3 linked regions of the Oryzias latipes genome follow. The protein of the gene in region 1 purifies or fractionates together with the protein of each later gene. This does not show direct contact. Links are inferred from orthologs where the notes say so. Each region holds a gene or a part of one and is shown on either strand. Other genes may lie near its edges. The genes, in order: pdik1l, hsp90ab1 and cdc37.

The links.
Region 2: the proteins of pdik1l (region 1) and hsp90ab1 purify together in Homo sapiens (affinity purification with mass spectrometry; 3 studies listed by BioGRID and IntAct, counting the BioPlex papers as one, with this or other methods). This does not show direct contact. The link is inferred for Oryzias latipes from reciprocal best matches to the Homo sapiens genes PDIK1L and HSP90AB1.
Region 3: the proteins of pdik1l (region 1) and cdc37 purify together in Homo sapiens (affinity purification with mass spectrometry; 3 studies listed by BioGRID and IntAct, counting the BioPlex papers as one, with this or other methods). This does not show direct contact. The link is inferred for Oryzias latipes from reciprocal best matches to the Homo sapiens genes PDIK1L and CDC37.

Annotation. Positions count from the first base shown.
Region 1 is NC_019869.2:17,960,335-17,966,646, forward strand, and holds the end of pdik1l (serine/threonine-protein kinase PDIK1L), read left to right. Parts: exon of another isoform or gene 1-1,146; intron 1,147-1,233; 5' UTR 1,234-1,244; coding exon 1,245-1,529; intron 1,530-3,240; coding exon 3,241-3,981; 3' UTR 3,982-4,618; downstream 4,619-6,312.
Region 2 is NC_019882.2:5,880,713-5,888,039, forward strand, and holds hsp90ab1 (heat shock protein HSP 90-beta), read left to right. Parts: upstream 1-2,632; coding exon 2,633-2,782; intron 2,783-2,863; coding exon 2,864-3,070; intron 3,071-3,173; coding exon 3,174-3,333; intron 3,334-3,421; coding exon 3,422-3,555; intron 3,556-3,636; coding exon 3,637-3,939; intron 3,940-4,009; coding exon 4,010-4,175; intron 4,176-4,255; coding exon 4,256-4,446; intron 4,447-4,635; coding exon 4,636-4,783; intron 4,784-4,862; coding exon 4,863-5,131; intron 5,132-5,218; exon of another isoform or gene 5,219-5,245; intron 5,246-5,495; coding exon 5,496-5,829; intron 5,830-5,904; coding exon 5,905-6,023; 3' UTR 6,024-6,409; downstream 6,410-7,327. UniProt on the Homo sapiens protein: Molecular chaperone that promotes the maturation, structural maintenance and proper regulation of specific target proteins involved for instance in cell cycle control and signal transduction. Undergoes a functional cycle linked to its ATPase activity.
Region 3 is NC_019866.2:8,381,710-8,389,183, reverse strand, and holds cdc37 (hsp90 co-chaperone Cdc37), read left to right. Parts: upstream 1-3,318; 5' UTR 3,319-3,477; intron 3,478-3,558; 5' UTR 3,559-3,559; coding exon 3,560-3,667; intron 3,668-3,857; coding exon 3,858-4,133; intron 4,134-4,290; coding exon 4,291-4,396; intron 4,397-4,482; coding exon 4,483-4,598; intron 4,599-4,738; coding exon 4,739-4,861; intron 4,862-5,109; coding exon 5,110-5,292; intron 5,293-5,374; coding exon 5,375-5,446; intron 5,447-5,545; coding exon 5,546-5,671; 3' UTR 5,672-6,438; downstream 6,439-7,474. Other genes in the region: hemicentin-1, read left to right, coding at 47-313, 389-721, 812-1,066, 1,166-1,173; cmc4 (cx9C motif-containing protein 4), read left to right, coding at 1,979-2,036, 2,116-2,258. UniProt on the Homo sapiens protein: Co-chaperone that binds to numerous kinases and promotes their interaction with the Hsp90 complex, resulting in stabilization and promotion of their activity. Inhibits HSP90AA1 ATPase activity.

The sequences.
Region 1 (6,312 bases):
TCCAGTAGATAACAAAGTTCCATCCTAAATTGCAAAGTTGGATGATGTTTGGCTGGGTCTGCTGTCCACAGAGCTTCAGTGCAGCCCTGCTGCTCCATCATGGAGATCATCAGGTTTCGTGGGGGGCTCTCAAATTCTCCTAAAGGGCTTCATCTGCAGATTGACAGGAATGCATATTGTTTTAGCAGAAATGGTTAAGCTTTTGCGGATATTTTCTGGGGCAGGAAACATTTATTTTCTAACACTCCTTGCAAGATTACAGGTTAATTTGTTAAAAAATCCAATTAATTAAACTCGCCTGAGACTGAAGACTCGAAAGGAATACCAGATCCTCTTTACTTCTGTGCTTTTACTCTTTAGCTTGGTTTCTTTTCATCAGTTAAATGCTGATCAAACCATAACCAAACTATGAAAAAAACTGCTCTCTTTGACGGAATTGTACAGATCTTTTCTCTGTTATTTGCTAAAAAGCTTGTTCTAGTTGAGGGTCAGAGGATGAAGGTCATTAAACTCATTTGGTTTCAAAAAGGAGGAGTTGCTGCCAGAATTCACAACCTTTGTGTTTGGTTCTTCCCATTCAGGTTTTTTTCACCTTCTTCAGCATTTACATCCTCATTTGAACTCTGTGTTTTAGCACTTTTGTTGGAATAAGTTATGACCAATGAGCTTGACTTCAAATTCAAGTGATTTTGGAAAATCCTTTTGACTCATTGGAGGACTACAAACAAACTTTTCCTCCATAATCTGTCTTCCTCCACCTCCTCATCTGAATATCTGCTTCTCTGTGCTACCTGATGCTCCGGAAAACTTAAGATTTAGTCCAGAAGATGAGGTTGCACAGCTGCTTTACAAGTGAGGCGCTGCACCGTTCTTAGCGTGGGTTCCTGGTTCCACGACTGTAAGACGCGCCCAGTGGGTGTGACCTGTTTCCCTGCAGCATGTCTGCTGATGGCCAGATGTTTCCCCTCTATATGTCTCCCATGTTCCTTTGCTTCAAGCACACCTATATGGGGTTTTTCCACTGGTCATTGTTCTTAGGCTCCTCCCTGCTTGATCGAAGCCTGTCGGCACATAGTGACAGGTGTTTGATGTCAGTCGCACATCTGGCTCTTGACGTATGTCAAGTCCCTTGATCTCATGTGGAAAGTACATCAGCTACCGGGCGAGTCTTGCAGAATCGACCAGTCAAACCATGCGAGACTAACGTTGTTGTTGTTTTTTTTCTTCCCACAGCGAAGACTAGGATGGTAAGCAGCCAGCCGAAGTACGAGCTGATCCAGGAGGTGGGGCGTGGCAGTTACGGCGTGGTCTATGAGGCGGTGGTGAAGCGCACCAGGGCCCGGGTGGCGGTGAAGAAGATCCGCTGCCACTCTCCAGAAAATGTGGAGCTGGCCTTGCGGGAGTTCTGGGCCCTGAGCAGCATCCAGAGCCAGCACCCAAACGTCATCCACCTGGAGGAGTGCATCCTGCAGCGGGACCAGCTGGCCCAGAGGATGAGCCATGGCTCCAGCTCCCCACTCTACCTGGAGGTGAGGGTGCAACAACCCTGAGTGTTTTCAGGAATAGGTGTTTTTTTTAAGGCTAGCAAGAATCTGAATCCAAGACAGTCCCATGGACTCAGTTTCTGTAGATCTCACCTGGATATAACAGTGGAGATGGCATCGTTTGTGGATCTGTCTGATTTAAAAAGAGGATCAGATGAAAAAGGGTAGGGGTTTGTAGCGGTATCCTAGTTGTTGTTGGCCCGCAGGTCCATGAATGTTCCACAGGTGGTAGTGGCGGGCCTCCCTGCTGCACTCCCAGGCCTGATAGAGGACTTTTGTTTTTGTTCATTCAGACCCTGCTTTGCCAGTGTTGGACATTCTCCCAGAATGTTCTTGTGCCACGTCGGGGCTCTCCCAGGAACAATGACGGGCGCTCTTTTGAGTTTTGAACCCTTTGTCCGTCTGGAGCTTTCTCCTGCTCTGAAGCCACGTCGTTATGCAAAGTGAATTTTTGTTTATTAGGCATTGTGGAGATTTTGGGGTCTAAAAGAGGCTGTTTTTTTTTTTTTTTTGAAGATGTACCAGTTTGTTTGTGGAGTCAAATGTTGAGCTCACAGGCAAAATCTTTTCTAAATACTGTACTTTTACTCTGTGAAATGTCCTTTGGTTGTTGCATTTGAATGGGTGGAGTTATCCTCTAGTGCACTCTTAGGAGTAGCAGCTAGCAGAAGTAGAACTTTTACCTGTTTCTATTTTCCCCCCCTCTGTTTCATCACTGTGTCGACTTTTTATGTGAAAAGTCAGGTTTGTTTCATGTGCCTGATGCAAGCTTTGCATACCAAAGCTGATTAATGAAGGGTGCCTTGATTGCTTTAAGACTGAGCCACTGAGTAAATCCACAGAGAAAATGTTGTTTATGATTTTCACAATGGGAGTCATCCCGTGCCCAAAGCCCATCACTTTTGCACATGACGTCTGCTGATGAATGATGCAGTGGTAAGGCAGACATTTTGCGAAGTCTGGGTCAGCTTTTCAGTGAGCGATGTTTTAACGCGCGGCAGAAGAATGGCCGTCACAGATCCCTGCTCGTCAAAAACCCTTCTGAAACATTTCTGATGCTTTGTAAAACATTTAATAAAATGTAAAGAACATTTTACTGCTAAACATAAAAAGTTTTGTTTATTTATTCAGAGCAATTGACTGAACCGTAGTAGTAGTAGTGTCTTTCCGTCACTCTGTGCTTTAAAACCGGAGTCCGTGTTTCCTCTTTTATCACTTAAGGTCCATAGATCCTGCAGTGCAGTTTAAGCGTTGGGCACGGCGCGTTTGCCTGACTGAGCTGAGTTGACAGAAGCCAGCATGTGATTGGATGTCTTTCTCTTTGCATCTCATGCAGAAAACAATCCGAGAGACAGTTAAAGATTTTTACTTAAAAATCTTTTTCAGGCAAAAAGAGGTTTTTATCTTGGTTTTCAGTGTGAAGTTTTATCATTTAGTGATAAATGTTTCACCCAAAAAGCGTGTCTAACCTGGTTTTTAAGGGGAATGTTGATAAATCCAAATGAAAGCAGTGGAATCCATAGGTATTTCTGTTTCTAACCTCTGTCACAGTTCAGAAACATTCCCAGTCTCTGGTCTGATTGGAACTTATAAGGGTCAGTGTTTATTCAGACTCTGTGACCTCTGTGCAGTGTTTCCATAGAAACTAGAACGGCATCCGACTCTTAACGTGTGTCGTCCTCTGTTTGTGCTGCAGCTGGTGGAGACGTCTCTGAAGGGAGAGATCACCTTTGACCCCTGCTGTGCCTCCTACCTCTGGTTTGTCATGGACTTCTGTGACGGGGGTGACATGAACGCCTACCTGCTGTCCCGCAAGCCCAGCCGCAAAACCAACACCAGCTTCATGCTGCAGCTGGGCAGCGCCTTAGCCTTCCTGCATCGCAACCAGATCATCCACCGTGACCTCAAACCAGACAACATCCTCATCTCGCAGGCCTGCACCCCCGCCGGGTCGCCCGAGCCCACCCTCAAAGTGGCCGACTTCGGGCTGAGCAAAGTCTGCTCCGCCTCCGGGCTCAACCCAGAAGAGCCGGCCAGCGTCAACAAATGCTTCCTGTCCACGGCCTGTGGGACGGACTTCTACATGGCCCCCGAGGTCTGGGAGGGCCACTACACGGCCAAGGCGGACATCTTCGCCCTAGGAGTGATCATCTGGGCCATGGTAGAGCGGATCACCTTTGTAGATGTGGAGACTCAGAAGGAGCTGCTGGGCAGCTATGTGCAGCAGGGCTCAGAGATCGTCCCCTTGGGGGAGGCCCTCCTGGAGAACCCCAAGATGGAGCTGCCTATTCCTGCCCGAAAGAAGAGCATGAACAGCCGCATGAAGCAGCTTCTGCGGGAGATGCTTTCAGCCAACCCGCAGGAGCGGCCCGACGCCGTGGAGCTGGAGCTCAGACTGATCCGGATCGCCTGCAGGGAGCTGGACTGGGACATGTGAGGCGGGGACCGCCCTCCCAGCTCATGAGCTTCTTCTCCCCCTCTAGATCATAAAGTTGTGTGTATTTTTGCAGAATAACTAGTGCAGGCATCAGTTTTAAGGGGTTTGAACTTCTTGTGCCTGGAAGGGGGAGGGGCTCTCCAGTGACTCCACCCCCTTCCAGCTGATCCAAAAGCAGCTGCATTTTGACTTCGGTGCTAAACGTTTCTAAATGCAATACGTTTTTATGAGACGTGCTCCTGTGATCATCCGTCTGCATCGGCGACACACCCTTGACCCCCCCCCCCCCCCCCCGGTGGGCTGTGTCCGGTCTTCAGGCAGACCTGAGGCCTAGAAGGAGCCCTGAACGCTCAGGAAACCATGCAGCTGCTCTGACCGGACAAAGGTTCTTTTGATCGCCCGTCCGGTTTGCTCCTCCCACCTTCCTTCTCTCCAGTGCAGTCATTCTGTGCTCGCCAGTGCCTCTGTGAGGCGTGGATTGGTTGCTGCTCCTAACTCTGTCACCTCTAGTTTTTAAACAGGGCAGAGCTGCTTATAACACCTCAGAGGGTTCTGGTTCACAGAGAGTTTAGAGAAACCGGAACATGACTCCACCTGATAGCAGAATTAAAGAATTTCAGTGTTCTGTTGAAGGTCACAGCCGCTCACAGCTTTATTTTTTCAACTTGGGGACAATGGGGGAAGGTCAGTTTTCACTGTGGTCTCCCTCTGAGATAGAAGATTCACATTTCTTTTGCCAGGTCTTCCGAGCCGGACCGCACAGGTTCAGTCCTCTGCTGCTGCTGAAAACATGGGAGCCTGAATGAAGGGAATTTTTGACAGAAATGGCGGGTGATTGACCTGACAGGGCGGGGAATTTAGTTAGTTTTCTTGCGTGCAAGCTTCTGTCCATTGTGGATCCTCAGGCTATGAAAACCTCCATGAAGGATAACTGACCACCTGGCCCTGAGCCACATAGGTTTCAGTTCTCACACGTGCTACCAGAACCCTTTTTGTTGGGACTTTTCCATGATCGCACAGACGTGATGGAGCGCCGGGAGGAGGGGAAAGTCGAGCCTTGAAGCAGCAAAGTTGGGACTTGGATTGGGTCGTTTGTAAGCCCTTAGTGCAGAGGATGAGGATGGAATTGTGTCTCATCACATTCCCTCCTCTGGCTCTTTTAGGCAGAAACTTTCTGTTTCCAGCTGTGTTTCTGAAGATGACACCCTCAGATTTCTTGTATTGTTTGTTTGCACATGTGTAGATACTGTAAAGAGGTGGGTGGGGGTGGGGTGGGGGGTGGGGGTGGGGGGTTGCATATGACCGGCTCTGTTTTTAGAGTCTCATTGTTTGACACTGAAAAAGGCTCAGTTTGCTTTACTTTTCAACTGATTCAGCATTTTCCTTCAACAAAAACATGTGAAGTTCTTCAGGAAAGTCCAGCCTCTGACCACGTCTGCGTGGGAGGGGGGAGCTGGGGGGGGGGGGGGGGGGGGGGGGGGTCAGATGTCTTCTGCGTGTCCTTCAGAAAAGGAGGGAGAAGTCTTCGGCGCTCTGGTTTGCTGTTGTTGCACTTTTTGTTCATGTAAGGAACAGGTTCAGAATTGGCGGGGGGGGGGGGGGGGGGGCTCTAAAGTGATGTTTGCTTGTTCTGATTTTTGAGTCATGGAGTGACAGAAGGACCAAAAATGATTATTTAGAAAGAAGGAATTGACTGAATCTCTGATTTATTTTGGTTCTATTGAATTTTTACTGGAATTTGCTTCAGTTGCAGTCTGATTTGTAAACCGACCCTCCCCACATATGTTCCTTTTAAGAAGCCCCCCCCTGACAGGTTTGGTGTCAAAATCTGTTCTGTTATCAGGAGCAGTTTAGAAGTGCATGGGGGGGGAAAATAAACATAAAAAAGTATTACCTCAAATAAATCAAAAGGTAGTTGTTTCCCTGCTGGTTACCTGGATCAGGTGTGTTCCAAGTGAAAACGCTTCACCCAGGTAATCCGATGTAATCGGGGGGGGGGGGGGGGGGGTCTGAAGATTGGAAAGAAAGATTCTTTCAGATTTTATTTCCTTGATTGATTTTTTTCATCTTATTTTGGGTTGACTTTATGAATCCGGCTCCTCTGTCATGCCGTACTCACAGGTGTGGTGATCAGCACTTTTTTTCCTCTAAAATCTGTATTTTGCAATAAATAATTTTGCTTTGAAACCATGCCAACGTTTTGTATGCTGTATCAGTTCCAAAACAAAAAGAAGGATTAAAAACACCTGAAGCTCTGCTCCTCCCCCTTCCACACCTGTCGGTTCCCGCTGAGTTGATGGATTTCTAATAAAGAAGTGAAACTTGAGTGTG
Region 2 (7,327 bases), on another chromosome or scaffold:
CTTATTTGCTAGTAGATGAGAAGACATGATTAAATTGATGGTAAGGTAGGGACTGGAGCATAGATTCATTTAAACTTAAGTGCATAAAGTTTATCTAAACCATCTATATTGGTGAAATAATGTTTAAACTTTCATATGTCAATAATTTAGATAAAAACGCGGTTACCAAAAACAAGCAGCTTGGCGTGCTAAAGCTAACATTGAACACGCTACACTAGCCGGTGACACTAAACAGAGTCAGTTAGGCTAACGTTTGCAATAGCTGACGTGACCTAACAAACAAAGCTAACTTTGTTTTTTGAAATAATTAGTATAGACTAAATTTAATACATTACAATGTTCTTACCCTTAATTAGGTCGTGTGAAAATTAGTAAAAACCAACAGTAAAATTGGTAATATCTTTGAAGGGAAAAATCGTTTACGTCTCTAATGGCACTAAACTAGCCCACGAGCTAGCTGAGAGCGTTATCAACACTCACGCATGCGCACTATTTACCAAAGGACAACCGCACTTCTTTTGTGCGTCGGGACATTGCCCGTGGACGGGGCTAAAGTTCTGCTCAGTACACCAGTGTTTATGTTGTGAAAAATGTGTCTTTTACTACAAAGGCTCTCTGAATCTGATTTATTTGCATGGTAAATGATCATGTAGTTAATATTTTAAATTAGCTTTTTTTATAGGAAAATGATACTAATCATTCCAAAATTTCTATTTTTCTACATTTTATAATTTTACTACATGCTAATGAAATTTCAATTTGTTCTGCATAAATGTTTGTGTTATTTAACGTAAGCCTATTAACAATGACAAAATTAGATATTTGACATAGTTTTATTTACATTTTGTTTAACCACGTTCAATTGGAAGTGCCGTCATTTTGATTTCAATGTTAAAATATGTAAAATAAATCAATAACTAAAAAAAGTTTTTATTAAAAAAATATTTGGCATATTTATTTTTCATAAATGTAAAAAAACAAGCCTTTTAAAAAGTTTTGACCAGTCATATTGATTTATTTACAGTAAAAAAAGAAATAAAGGTGTCATTGATCAAAATGAGGTACAGAGCGGCAGTTGTAATTTCTGTGGCAACCAATAGAATGCGAAGTCAGCATGTGACAACTCGGTGACGTCATGTTTAGGCGGGTTTTTCATGGAAAGTGCTAGAAGAAACGAAGCACTCCCCTTCGGTATTCTTCCATGTGATTACAAAGACCTAGAGTGTTCGTTGATTCCGTAAAAAATACAGCGTGCTTTTAATTTTTGACATCCAGATATAGAGATTCTATACAAATACTTTTTTTTTTCAACAAAATTTTGACACATTTTTAGAATTTAGACAATTACTAAACGGAAGCTCGTAGATGTAGTTTTTGCTGTATCTTAAATAACCGCTAGATGGCAGCAAAAATCAAATACGATTGATTTTATTCTTAGTTTTGTTTTTAATATAATAAATTTATAACGTTTAGATTTTACCTCCTTGGCCAATCAAAATATTGTGCATGCTATTCCACTATAACTTTTTATCTGTTGATATAAATAATTACATATTTTTCTGGAGGAGCACAGTTAGTTCGAGAAGGAGCGCCGCGGAGGGATCTTGTCCTGCACTGAAACTCATGAGCATATAGATTCGGCGTGCAGCTCCAGAATCCTCCTTTCTTTTTCCTGCGTCAGTGAGCGGCAGGGATAGCACTTTTGTTGCATTTTATTCAAGAAAAGCCAACATAAGAAACAAGGTATGTCTTGGTAATTCACTTCATATTGAGGGAAACCAAACTTTAAATGGTTTATTATTATTCTACACCGAATGTTGAGTCATTTAACGGGTTTTTTTGTTATTTGATTTCGATTCACGTGGTTTGTTTAACCTTGATTCATCGATTAAAAGCATTTCTGACATAGCGGGTTTACTATTCTTAATTAGTAATGGGCTTTAGGTTAAATCTTGTACTAGTGACCGAAAATAAGTGGTGGGCTTTTGCCGCATCTTGTAGGCAGACAGAAGGTATGGAGATTTATTATTGTGAAGGTTGGTTGTACCTGACTGTTTAAAGAATAACATTACCATAGTTTAACGAGCGATTGACGTGTCTTTGTGTATATTTTGCCAACGAAGGATTCTAGATGGACTACTAGTTTAGAATCTTACACCCAGAGTGTGTACATCATGTACATCTTGCATAACCGACACAGGAGTGCTCGTGGTTTTTCGGGGTGATGGTAGTTTTGGGGGCTATTTTTTTGCAGTAAAGCTCCTGAGCGATAATCCAAAATCGTTCGATCTTGATATTCACGGAAGCTTCGGGTTTTTTCGGTTTTAGTCGGCACGTGCTTGCAGCGTCCATTGTCCATGCCTCGCCGCCATGTTTCGCTGCACTTCCGCCCGTATGTTGTAATCTGATGGCAGGGATCCGACTCTGAACCGGTTTCTGAATTGTGGTAGTTTATGGTTTAAAATTATTCATTAAAAAAAATTAAACTAAAAACTACAATCTTAGTAAAATAATTGGCAGTTTATTACCGTATTTTGCGTATTTGTAAGATGTTGTGCTTTTATTTTGGCGTTTCCTGTTGGTTCATCCCATTATTAGTCTGACGCTGTTTGTTGCAAACCTGTTATTTCTTATGCAGATGCCTGAAGAAATGCACCAAGAGGAGGAGGCTGAGACCTTTGCCTTCCAGGCAGAGATTGCTCAGCTGATGTCCCTGATCATCAACACCTTTTATTCCAACAAAGAGATCTTCCTCAGGGAGCTGATCTCCAATGCCTCTGATGTAAGTCTGCAGCAGTTTACGTAACATCGTATCACCTCTGTGTCAATACAGTGAAATATCTTGACGCTGAATTATTTTTAGGCTCTGGACAAAATCCGCTATGAAAGCTTAACTGATCCCTCCAAGCTGGACAGCGGCAAGGATCTGAAAATCGACATCATCCCCAACAAGGCTGACCGCACCTTGACCATTGTTGACACTGGAATTGGCATGACCAAGGCTGACCTTATCAACAACCTGGGTACCATTGCAAAGTCTGGGACAAAGGCTTTCATGGAAGCCCTTCAGGTATTAATATAAACAGGCATAAAGGGGAAAAATACATATACACATTTATATATTTTTTTAGCAGAAGTGAATACAAATTGTGGAACTTTGCCGTTTTCTTCAGGCTGGAGCCGACATCTCCATGATTGGTCAGTTCGGTGTGGGATTTTACTCTGCCTACCTCGTCGCTGAGAGGGTGGTGGTTATCACCAAGCACAACGACGATGAACAGTACGCCTGGGAGTCCTCTGCTGGGGGATCCTTTACCGTCAAGGTCGACAGTGGTATGGATCTTCAAATATTATAATTATGGTGCAACAAACTAAAATCTGACTGTGAAACATTTGTTAACCTCTACAACACTGTTCTCAGGCGAGCCCATTGGCCGTGGAACAAAGATCATCCTGCACCTTAAAGAAGACCAAACGGAGTACATTGAGGAGAAGAGGGTCAAAGAGATCGTGAAGAAGCATTCTCAGTTCATCGGCTACCCCATCACCCTCTTTGTAAGTGATTTGTTTGTTTTTTTACAAACATATTTCTCACTAATAGAAGCTTATGTGGAGTTGTACGTGGTTTATCTATAGGTGGAGAAAGAACGTGACAAGGAGATCAGTGATGATGAGGCAGAGGAGGAAAAAGAAGAGAAGGAGACCAAGGAGGAAGGTGAGGACAAGCCAAAGATTGAGGATGTGGGCTCAGATGATGAAGAAGACGCTAAAGACAAGGGCAAGAAGAAGAAGAAGATCAAGGAGAAGTACATTGACCAGGAAGAGCTGAATAAGACCAAGCCCATCTGGACCAGAAACCCTGATGACATCACGAGTGAGGAGTACGGCGAGTTCTACAAGAGCCTCACAAACGACTGGGAGGATCACCTCGCTGTGAAGGTAAAATAGAGGTTTGGGTGTCTTCTGATCGGCTGATGGAACCTCGTGCTGACGTGTGTTTCTCTTTTAGCACTTTTCAGTGGAAGGTCAGCTGGAATTCAGGGCTCTGCTCTTTGTTCCTCGTCGTGCACCTTTTGACCTCTTTGAGAACAAGAAGAAGAAGAACAACATCAAGCTGTACGTCAGGAGAGTCTTCATCATGGACAACTGTGAAGAGCTCATCCCAGAGTACCTGAGTAAGTTTTAAATCTCTGTTCCACCGGATCTGAAAGGAAATGCACAGCAGCTTTAAAACGTTTTTGTTTGTTTACAACAGACTTCATCCGTGGAGTGGTGGACTCTGAAGACCTGCCCCTCAACATTTCAAGAGAAATGCTGCAGCAGAGCAAGATCTTGAAAGTAATCCGCAAAAACATTGTCAAGAAGTGCCTGGAGCTGTTCGGAGAGCTGGCAGAAGACAAAGAAAACTACAAGAAATTCTATGAAGGTTTCTCAAAGAACATCAAGGTATCTCAAACATATCTGAAGCTTTTCTAAATGATGCCTATAAACTGATGGATTTTTTTTTTCCTGTAAACTTTTAAGGTGTGAAAATAAATCGACACATATTTAGCGTGAAGCCTTGGAATTGGGCAACGCTTGCTGCATTACCCAGAATTTAGTTGAGTAAATCGATCACAACTTTTATGTTCACAGCTCGGCATCCATGAGGATTCTCAGAACCGTAAGAAGCTGTCTGAGCTGCTGCGCTACCACAGCTCCCAGTCTGGAGATGAAATGACTTCCCTCACAGAGTACCTTTCTCGCATGAAGGAGAACCAGAAATCCATTTACTACATCACTGGTAGGTTTGGCTTCCAGTCCATATGTTCTTTTGTTGATTCTTTTGGCACGACTTAAGTTTTTGTTTTTTGCCTCTGAAGGTGAAAGCAAGGACCAGGTTGCCAACTCTGCTTTCGTGGAGCGCGTCCGCAAGCGTGGCTTCGAGGTCCTGTACATGACCGAGCCCATCGACGAGTACTGTGTTCAGCAGCTGAAGGAGTTTGATGGCAAGAACCTGGTTTCTGTCACCAAAGAGGGCTTGGAGCTGCCAGAGGATGAGGAGGAAAAGAAGAAGATGGAGGATGACAAGGCCAAGTTTGAGAACCTCTGCAAGCTCATGAAAGAGATTCTGGACAAGAAAGTAGAGAAGGTTGGTCTCAAATAAGAAACTGTGCTTTTGCTCCTCATTTCTTCACCATCATTTCCTTAACTTCAGTGGTGTTTTGTTTGGAAACAGGTTTCCTAGTGGTAACTACTTATATTGGTGAGTTCATACAGAGTAGAAGTGGCCTGTAGAGTTTCTAGCGTTGCCTGATATTTGAGTTGAAAGGGTTTGGTTTTGCAAGAGCCTGATAAGTCTGACAGCGACGTGAGTTCTAACAATGTTTGTCTTTTGAGGCTGTGTCTAACACTCGATGAAATCAGCATCACACAAACGGCCTGAACCGCATGCGTGTATTGCATTCCAGTGGTCGGTTTTCTCAAACCGATGCTTACCTTCATGCCTTCTACAGGTGACTGTCTCCAACAGACTGGTATCGTCCCCCTGCTGCATTGTGACGAGCACTTACGGCTGGACGGCAAACATGGAGAGGATCATGAAGGCCCAGGCTCTCAGGGATAACTCCACCATGGGTTACATGATGGCCAAGAAGCATTTAGAGATCAACCCCGACCATCCCATCATGGAGACCCTCCGGCAGAAGGCTGAGACCGACAAAAACGACAAAGCTGTGAAGGACCTCGTCATCCTGCTGTTCGAAACTGCTCTGCTGTCCTCTGGCTTCTCCCTGGACGACCCTCAGACCCACTCCAACCGCATCTACAGAATGATCAAACTTGGTTTGGGTACGAAAACACTCCAGACTATAAATATCTTTGTTTTAAAAGGTTCATGTCAATAATTGGAGGTCTTGTCTCCAGGTATCGACGATGACGACATCCCCACAGAGGAGCCCGCCTCCACATCTGCCCCAGAAGAGATGCCACCCCTGGAAGGAGATGCTGACGACGATTCGTCACGCATGGAAGAGGTCGACTAAACTTCCCCAAACTTCACACTTTTAAGCCTCACTTTCCCAGAAATCCATCTATTATAAATTCTGTAACTAAAAAATCAAGTAGGCATTCCTGTTGTGACGCTCTCGGTAAGAGATCCTCACACTGAAAAACCTTGTTTGAAAGTAGGTTTGTTTCTGCTTGCAATGTTCATGGTGACGACTCATTTTAAACTCCCCTGTTGCACTGTGGTTTACTTGTTCGGTTGATGTGCAAGTTGGGGAATGATGCATTCCATTCCAAATGTTTGGGGGGGGTTCTCTTCATGTGCAGCGCTGCATGGAGAGAGGACTGTAAGATTCCTTTGCCTGAGGTCAGGTTTGTCTGTGTTCAGTTTTGTTTTTGCAAAAATAAAGAATATTGTCCCTAATGTCTGTTTTTGCACTCAATACTTCTGATTGGCCACAAGGTGGAGCCCTTTCATATGCAACCATTCGACTGGAGTTTAAAAATGCTGCATAAAACTGTCAGTGTTTACTTTTGTAGTCATTAAATTTGGCAAGAATTGTTAGAATCTTTACTTCAAGTCGTCTTTGCATTTCTGCAGTATTAGGGAAATCTAAGGTTTAAAAGGATGCAAACATCCTTTACTGTAGAGGACAGTGCCATCTGCTGGCAGAAGGCTAAAAATCAACAAAGAACCAACAACCAAATGTTGTTCATAAGAAACTGAGGATTCTACTTTAATATGAATCTGGGGAACCCTAAATTTGCAACTTTTTTTAAGTCCAAAAATTTTCAGGATTGCTTCAAAAACCAAAGGTTGCATTTTTAGCAAATCATTTTATAGGGTTTTATTTGGAATAATGTGCTTTGCCTGGAATTGGGGATATTTATCCAAAACGTTTTCAAGAAGCTGGACTGAACAGAGGTTCTCGCTGTGACGACTCCAAAGGTTACCTTAGATTTTTAAAAATATATTGAATAAATTAAACAGAGAAAACTTTAACAATTACGTTTTATGCTTAAAATTCATGATTCATCTGCTAACTTGAACTTCACAAGTGTATGTTCACAACAATGTTAACTGTCTAAAGTTGTCTGTTTTTGTTTTGAAATTAAGAGAATCCTACATACTTAAAAGTATAAAATACACAGATGCATTCCTGTGCATAATAGGGTATTTATTGAATTTATTTCATTGTTTTGATGCAGCCATCAAAACAGTATCCATGTAAAGCATTTTGAGCTGCCAATCTGCATGACTGGTGCAGATCAAGAAAAGCTGCCTTCCCAAAATCATAAAAGTAGCAAAGAATTAAAGACAAAACTGCATAAAATACAGGAA
Region 3 (7,474 bases), on another chromosome or scaffold:
TAACGCCAGCAGCTGTACTGATGATAACAGTTGGTGTGTGGGACAGTTTCAGGTGAAGGATGCTCTCTGGTCCTTAAGCCTTCCAGGGTTGTGGTGGGCTTTGGGGAATCAGTGTCAGTCAGCTGTGAAGCCACACGACCGGTTCGTGTGCTGGGCTGGGAATCCGTCATCGGTGCCTCATACACACAAGAAGACCGCTCTGTCCAGTGGAAGGTTGACAGCCTAATAGATTGGATTGAGGAGCCTATATGCTATGGGGTGTTTTTCACAGCTCCACGACAGTGTGAGGAGAAACTCAACCTGGTTCTCTATAGTAAGTTCCACCTCGCTTCAAATAAATGTTAATAAACTGACCTGTTTGCCTGACAGGATCTCTGTGTTAATGCAGAAACTCCAGACAGAGTCTCCATCAGGCAGGTGAACCACAGTGGCCCCATGGTGGAAGGGAAAGAGTATGAGCTGCTCTGCGAAGTTCAGAATATTGCTCCTGTTCAATATCTCACCCTGAGGTGGTACAGAGGGCAGACAGAGGTTTATACACACTCATTTGTTGACCTAACGTCTTCCTCGCCCGTCCAAGTCTCGTCCACCCTCGTAATCACTCCAACTCAAAGCGAAAATGAAGCAGAGTATAAGTGTGTGGCAGAGCTGGAGCTCGGACCTGAGGGGCCACAGCCACCTCCTTCTGTGACCTCAGAGCCTCTCATTGCATCTGTGTACTGTGAGTTATGAACCCCTGCATCTTCCTAAAGCACGTCTCCTCAAATTTGACTTATTAAAGACTGATTCCTGATCTTCTTTTTCCCTCTAGTTCCTCCAACAATCCTGAGCCCTGAAACAGAAGTTTTGAACTTAACTATGGGTAACGAAATCACCCTAAACTGCACAGCCACAGGAAACCCTGCACCTGTTTACACGTGGCAATCCTTGCATCCCATGCAGGAGAAGATGATGGATGAAGCTGTTGTTACTTCTTCTTCACTTCTCCCAGGGACCTACACCTGCACAGCCTCCAATCTACTGGATCAGAAAAGCAAGCAGTTCCTTGTCAAAGCAAAAACCAAAGGTAAAAAGACATTTATTATTTGAAATTTTGAAATGAGTCACACATTTTCACACAAAGTTCTGATGTCCACTTTTTTTTTTGTTTTTTTTTTTTGCTCAGGTATCTAAGACAAGCTACCTTGCTTCAGGGTCAGAAGACTACATCCGGCATGCAGAGAGCATTGCTCTTAGCAGATTTTACTGTTGTTTTCAACACGGAAATGATGCAACATTTATGATTCGGTGGATATTTATGTAAAGTTAGATTTCACAGACAAGACCACATTAAAAAAAGGTCTTTGGAAATTTCATTTTTTAATGTGTTAGATACATTTTTTAGAATTGTAATTATCTTTTGTTTGTTTGTGTCCAACTGTATGTGATTTTCTTGATCTGGTTTATGTCTTGACTATATGTTTTCTTGACTAACAAAATATAATCATTGCAAATAAAAAAAGACTCAATGACAATATTTCAGTGGTTGCCATTGTACATATGAACTGTTTGTTAATTTTCTTATCTTTATCAATAAAAGCAAAACATCAAAAAAGTATGGACATTTTATTTGCACTTCTGCGTTTTTTTCAAAATAAAGTATAAAGTTCAAATATCTGGTATGACCAGATTGATTTTTAAAAATTGTTAAAATACCAACAAAAGCCTAAATGCATGTATTTCATTGCCCACACGATGTCGCTGTTGAGCAGATGTCTAAATGTAATTGGCTAACAGCATGACACGTGATCAAAACAATCCCTTGAAAACGGAAGTGGTTGGGTTCCCAGCAGTAGTAGGTCGATCTGCGTATCAAATATTACTGGTATGTCTAACTTTAAAACCATGCCCCCAATCTTTATCCAATAAGTAAAGTTTAAGATTCTGCCCATGTTTTATTCATATCATTGTTTTCATTCTCACATGTTTTCCTTTAGATATGCCACAGAAAGATCCGTGTCAAAAGCAAGCATGTGCCATTCAAACGTGTTTACAAGGTACACATTGACGTTGTTGTTGTGCTCTTCTAATGCAAATCTCAAACAAATTTGTGAACTTTTTGTTCTCATCTCACAGCTAACAAGTATGTGGAAAGTAAATGCGAGGATGTGATCCGAGAGATGCAGCGGTGCTGTGCAGCGCAAACTGGAAACTCCGTCTGCTGCTCAGGTTTCAAAGACTCCAAACTGACAAACTTCAAACCGAGCAAAAATAGCTGACACCACCTGCTGATGACTTGCATTCAATGGAAATAAAAAGTATATAAAATTGTCTAGTTCATCTTCTTTTCTCTGTTAGATTGAACATTTTCTAGCTATTTTATTCAAACGTGTTGTCACAGGTTATGATCGCAACACCGGCGATGAAGAAAAAAGGAAAACATTCACAAACTGATCTTGTTTTCCTTTCTTAGAACTTGAACTTTTCCTTCTTGGGAACGGACAAACTAAATTATCATCTATCAGTCTGGAGCACACATCTATATCTGAAACATAACTATATAAAAATCATATCTGGCCATTTATATCAAGAACGAAAAATAGCAGTAAGCAAATGAATATCATACTCTTAGTTTACCATATTACGTAGGTACATTTTCTAAATCTTATATGTAAAAATAATAATCTTCTAATATGTGTTCAGATCAGCATTCTAATTTATTCTTAATTCGCCTTGAAAAATGTAATCATTCGGGTCATGGTGCTTTTCTTTCTTTTTTATATTTAAATATAATTTCCCTTTTCTTTAATTTTTATTGAACAATTGCAACATACAGAACAAAGAAATGCAACAATTATGCACAGATAATGTACATTACAATTCTGAATACAGAATAAACGTGTTACATGCTTAAGAAGATTCTAATTATTTCTAACAATCACAAAAGGGAATAAAAAATTAAAATAAATAAAGAAAATAGAACTAAACATAGAAAAAAAATGATAAAATAAAAAGAGAAAATGCGAGAGTAAACTTGTGTTATTATTCCAAAAGATTTACAAATGTTAATTGTTTTTTGAGCTTTTGTGTTTTTTGAAGCTGAAATTAAGTTTAAATATTGCTGCAGTTCCAGTTTTAACACAAATAAATCAGTTTTTTATAGGAGAATTTGCTTTTATGAATATCAAATTTAGCCATAAATAACAACATGTTTATACAAAAGAAAGCATCACAGTCTTTCAGATTAAAACTATGAAAACCAAATATTTTCCGTTTTTGGTCATTGTTTCCGGTGTCTAAATTACGACGTACAATGTACGCGCCTTACGTATGACGTAAACGGAAGCTTTGGGGAGAATTTCTTCTAGAACTCTGTAGCAGCTTCCCGTTAGCTCTTGCTTGGGAGTAACAAATCAATTCGCACGACCAAATTTGGAGTACAGAAACACAGAGCACCAACACACATTTCTGAAGGGTTCGAGTGTGAATATTTCTTAGGTCGGTATTTTAGCGAGCGTGATTTAGACGCCAACTTAACCGAGTTCTAGTCGAAGCTAGCGCTGCTTCTTCTTGCTGCAGGATGTCCAGGATAGATTACAGCGTGTGGGATCACATTGAGGTATCGGATGATGAAGATGATACCCACCCAAATATTGACACTCCCAGTCTCTTCAGATGGAGACACCAGGTAAATATAAAAGCTTTTCGGAAAAGTGCTTAGCGTGATCGTTAGCTTTCACTTTCTGCTTGTAATTCTTCAGCCATGCTAATTTTCCTACTTACTTCGGATTCCTGAATTTGAACTCAAACTGGACAAGAGCTGATGAGTATTTGAAATTGTTTACACATGATGTTCACGCGTGTGATCTGTTCCTTAGGCGCGCGTGGAGCGAATGGAAGAATTCCAGAAGAAAGGCGAAGACCTAAAAAAAGGACTCGCCGAATGTCGGCGTAAACTCACGGAGTTACAGACAAAGATCCAGGACCTGAACCTTTCCGATGGTGTCAAAACAGAGCTCACCAAATACCAAGCCGATGAGAAGAAGCTGAAAAAAGAGGAGCGGGACTGGGAGAAAAAGCTGGATGAGTACTACAGGGAGGAGAAGAAGATGCCGTGGAACGTGGACACACTCAGCAAGGAAGGGTTCAGCAAGGTGACTTCTATATGCAGATAGAAACCTGTGGTTTTCTAGCAAGAGGTTGGAAAATCCAATGAAGCTCACATTAGTCCGTTGACATTTTATAAACAAAGTAGTTATTTCAAATCAATGCTAGATGGTGTCAAATCTTGATCTTTGTTCTCGCTTATAGAGCATAGTGAACATAAAACCTGAAACTTCGGAAGATACGGAAGAAGAAAAGGAGAAAAAACACAAAACATTTGTTGAAAAACACGAGAAGCAGATTAAACATTTCGGTAAGCCTGAGTAACTTCCATAAGGTCATTCTGTTGTCTTTTCCCTTCTTTAAAAACAATTTAAGTCTATTTTTATTAACTTACAGGGATGTTGCGACGATGGGACGACAGCCAAAAGTATCTCTCTGACAATCCTCATCTTGTATGTGAAGAAACCGCTAACTATCTCGTCATCATGTGCATTGATCTGGAAGTTGAGGAGGTAAACACATATACTTATATTTTTATTTTATATTCTTGTATCTTTGTTTTTTAGCATATCTTCTCCTCAAAGTGTGTGCTCCTGTTTGCAGCTGTTTAGGTTTTTCATTTCTTAGTAAAGCTTTGCTTTCCTATTTGCAGAAACACGCACTGATGGAGCAGGTGGCCCATCAGACCATTGTCATGCAGTTCATTCTTGAGTTGGCAAAAAGCCTCAAAGTGGATCCCCGCGGTTGCTTCCGTCAGTTTTTTGCAAAGATTAAAGTAAGCAAGTTTATTTAATTTTATTGTGTTTAATTGCTCTGAACTTATTCATTTTAAAGAAGATGTTTGGGCAGGAAAAGAAAGGGTGCTTTCATAAACAAGCAGTACAAAAATCAAAGGCAGTCTGTCTGTTATTCCTGGACTAAAACAGATTATTTTAAAAGTCCTTTTTTTTTTACCAGAAGTTTCTGTAAAATTTTATACTTCTGGTTTGGAATGTTCACATTTGTTCATTTGTTTTCTTACAGACCGCAGATCAGCAATACCAAGATGCTTTTAACGACGAGCTTGAGGCGTTTAAAGAACGGGTGAGAGGAAGAGCAAAGATTCGCATAGAAAAGGCCCTGAAAGAATACGAGGAAGAGGAGCGGCAGAAGCGGTTGGGGCCTGGAGGCCTGGATCCAGTTGAAGTGTATGAGTCGCTGCCTGCTGTAAGTGCATTCTAACAAGCAGGGTTTCATTTTTTGTCTCTATTGAGTTTGAAATGCTCACATAGTTTGCCTTCAACCACAGGAAATGCAGAAATGCTTTGATGAGAAGGACATCCAAATGTTACAAGAAGTCATCAGTAAAATGGATCCAACTGTAAGCTATACAGTTTTGTCTGGTTGAATCTTTTTGGATTTAGGTGCTTTTTTTTTTTTTAAGAAATCCCTGTTAACATGTGACTGTCGTGTCTTTTAGGAGGCAAAACATCATATGAAGCGTTGCATTGACTCAGGTCTGTGGGTCCCCAACTCTGGGGAAGGAAAGGAGGAAGAAGGGACCTATGAAGAGGTGAAACGGGAGCCGGAAGAAACAAAGGAGTGATCACAATGGATTTGTTGTTTGCAATTGTATTCACTTACTGTACCCCAGTCTCATTTAATGTAAAACAGCTTGCCAATAAACACCATCATTTCTTTAAACTTTTTGAGTACAAATTTGAATTATAAATGTGTAATAAGTCACATATTTGAAACAACAAAAACAAACTGTGTTTCTGCATCGCCTGAGCTGAATGTTTTTCCTTCATTTGTTATGCTTTGTTGGTATTGGTGCATAGTTGCAAGCTTAAGTCTAACATTGTCACATTTTTTTGCAACAGATATTTTATGTGACATTTGTACAACATTCACCGTTAAGTTCCAATGTTTTGATTTTTTTTTTTTCTTTCCTCCGGGTCTTTTACATTATTCAGGACAACAAAAACATTGACTTGTGCTCAAATAATCATTCAAACTGCTTGATTGATGAGCTTTATAGAACAGCTGGTAAATGAGGTTTCTAAGAAAAATAGTAAGGGTTACTGCTGTCAACTCCAGGCCAACGACAGTTGATCATGTTCGGTTCTGTTTATCCTAAATGAACCCAAAGATTTAGCTTTGGCTTCTTACTCAGTGGTAATCTAAAGATGGAAAAGACCAACTAGTCGCCTTTGTGAGATGATGTAAACTTACTGTGCTTATTCTTCCAAGGCAGGAGTACTTTGACATTTGCATGTCATGGCTTACATTTTTAAGTGAAGAACTGAGGGAAAACTGCTTTCAATACTGCAATTTTTCTCATAGAAAAATAAAAAAAAAAACTTGAAAACTGAACCATTGTAGTTTTTTAATGTAAGGATAGAACTATGAATATTTGAAAATGTGTGCCTGAAAGAATGAATAATCTAAATATGTTAAAAATGAATGATGACTGTTTTTTCTGGTCCCATGCTGCAAGAATATAGCTTCTGTCCCAGGAGCCTTTCACTTTATAACAATGCATAGTTATGGTATTAGATTATAAATAGACAACCAAAAGAACATATTTTTTCCTTTGTAGGTGTCTTTAGCTTCTTTTTATTATTTTCTGGTATCACATGAGATGTTGAAAATCGAATTATCTGTACTAGAGCCAGTGGAAAAGGGGAATTGTGTGTTTTTTCAAAAAGAAAAACCATATCTTCCTCAAAAATGCAGTTCAATCATGATTATTGTCAAGAAGAATATTCTTTTTCATATTTGACATTAAATATTGACAGACATTGCTCACATTTTAAAAGTAACGCTACAAAATAAAAGCACTTTCTTATTTGACAGGATGATGATGCAAAAATGAGTCATTTTAGAAACCACATTCATACTAAACATTGAGTCAGATTTGATCCAAACATGGTGCCAGGGTTAAACCACATTTACCATTTACATGCATATTAGGTAATCTAGATTAAATGGATTGATATAAACGAGCACATTAAATTTCCATTTAGGCAATACTGGATGTTTTTGTTCTGTTTACACTTTTTTTAATGCTGTATTTTGTTTCACATTTAGTAATCATCCAATTACATCAGTAACTAGTTTTTTTTGCAACAGTTTGTTATTAATGTTTTTTTTCTCTCCTCGATGTTGAGTCTAAGGGTACAATTTTTTTAGTTTATGTGGCAGCTCTAGCTGCCAGATCTTTGTATGTAGTTTTTTTCAACTTTTTAGGCAGATCTTAACACTGAATAGGTTTAAGCCAAGATTTTAGAATTCTAAATGTCCGCATCCATCTTACGAACTTGCTGAATCTACTTTTGGGAGCACAAGGATGCTGGAGCCTATCCCAGCTTTTCTTGGGTGAAGGTGGGGTACATGCCTAGCCGGT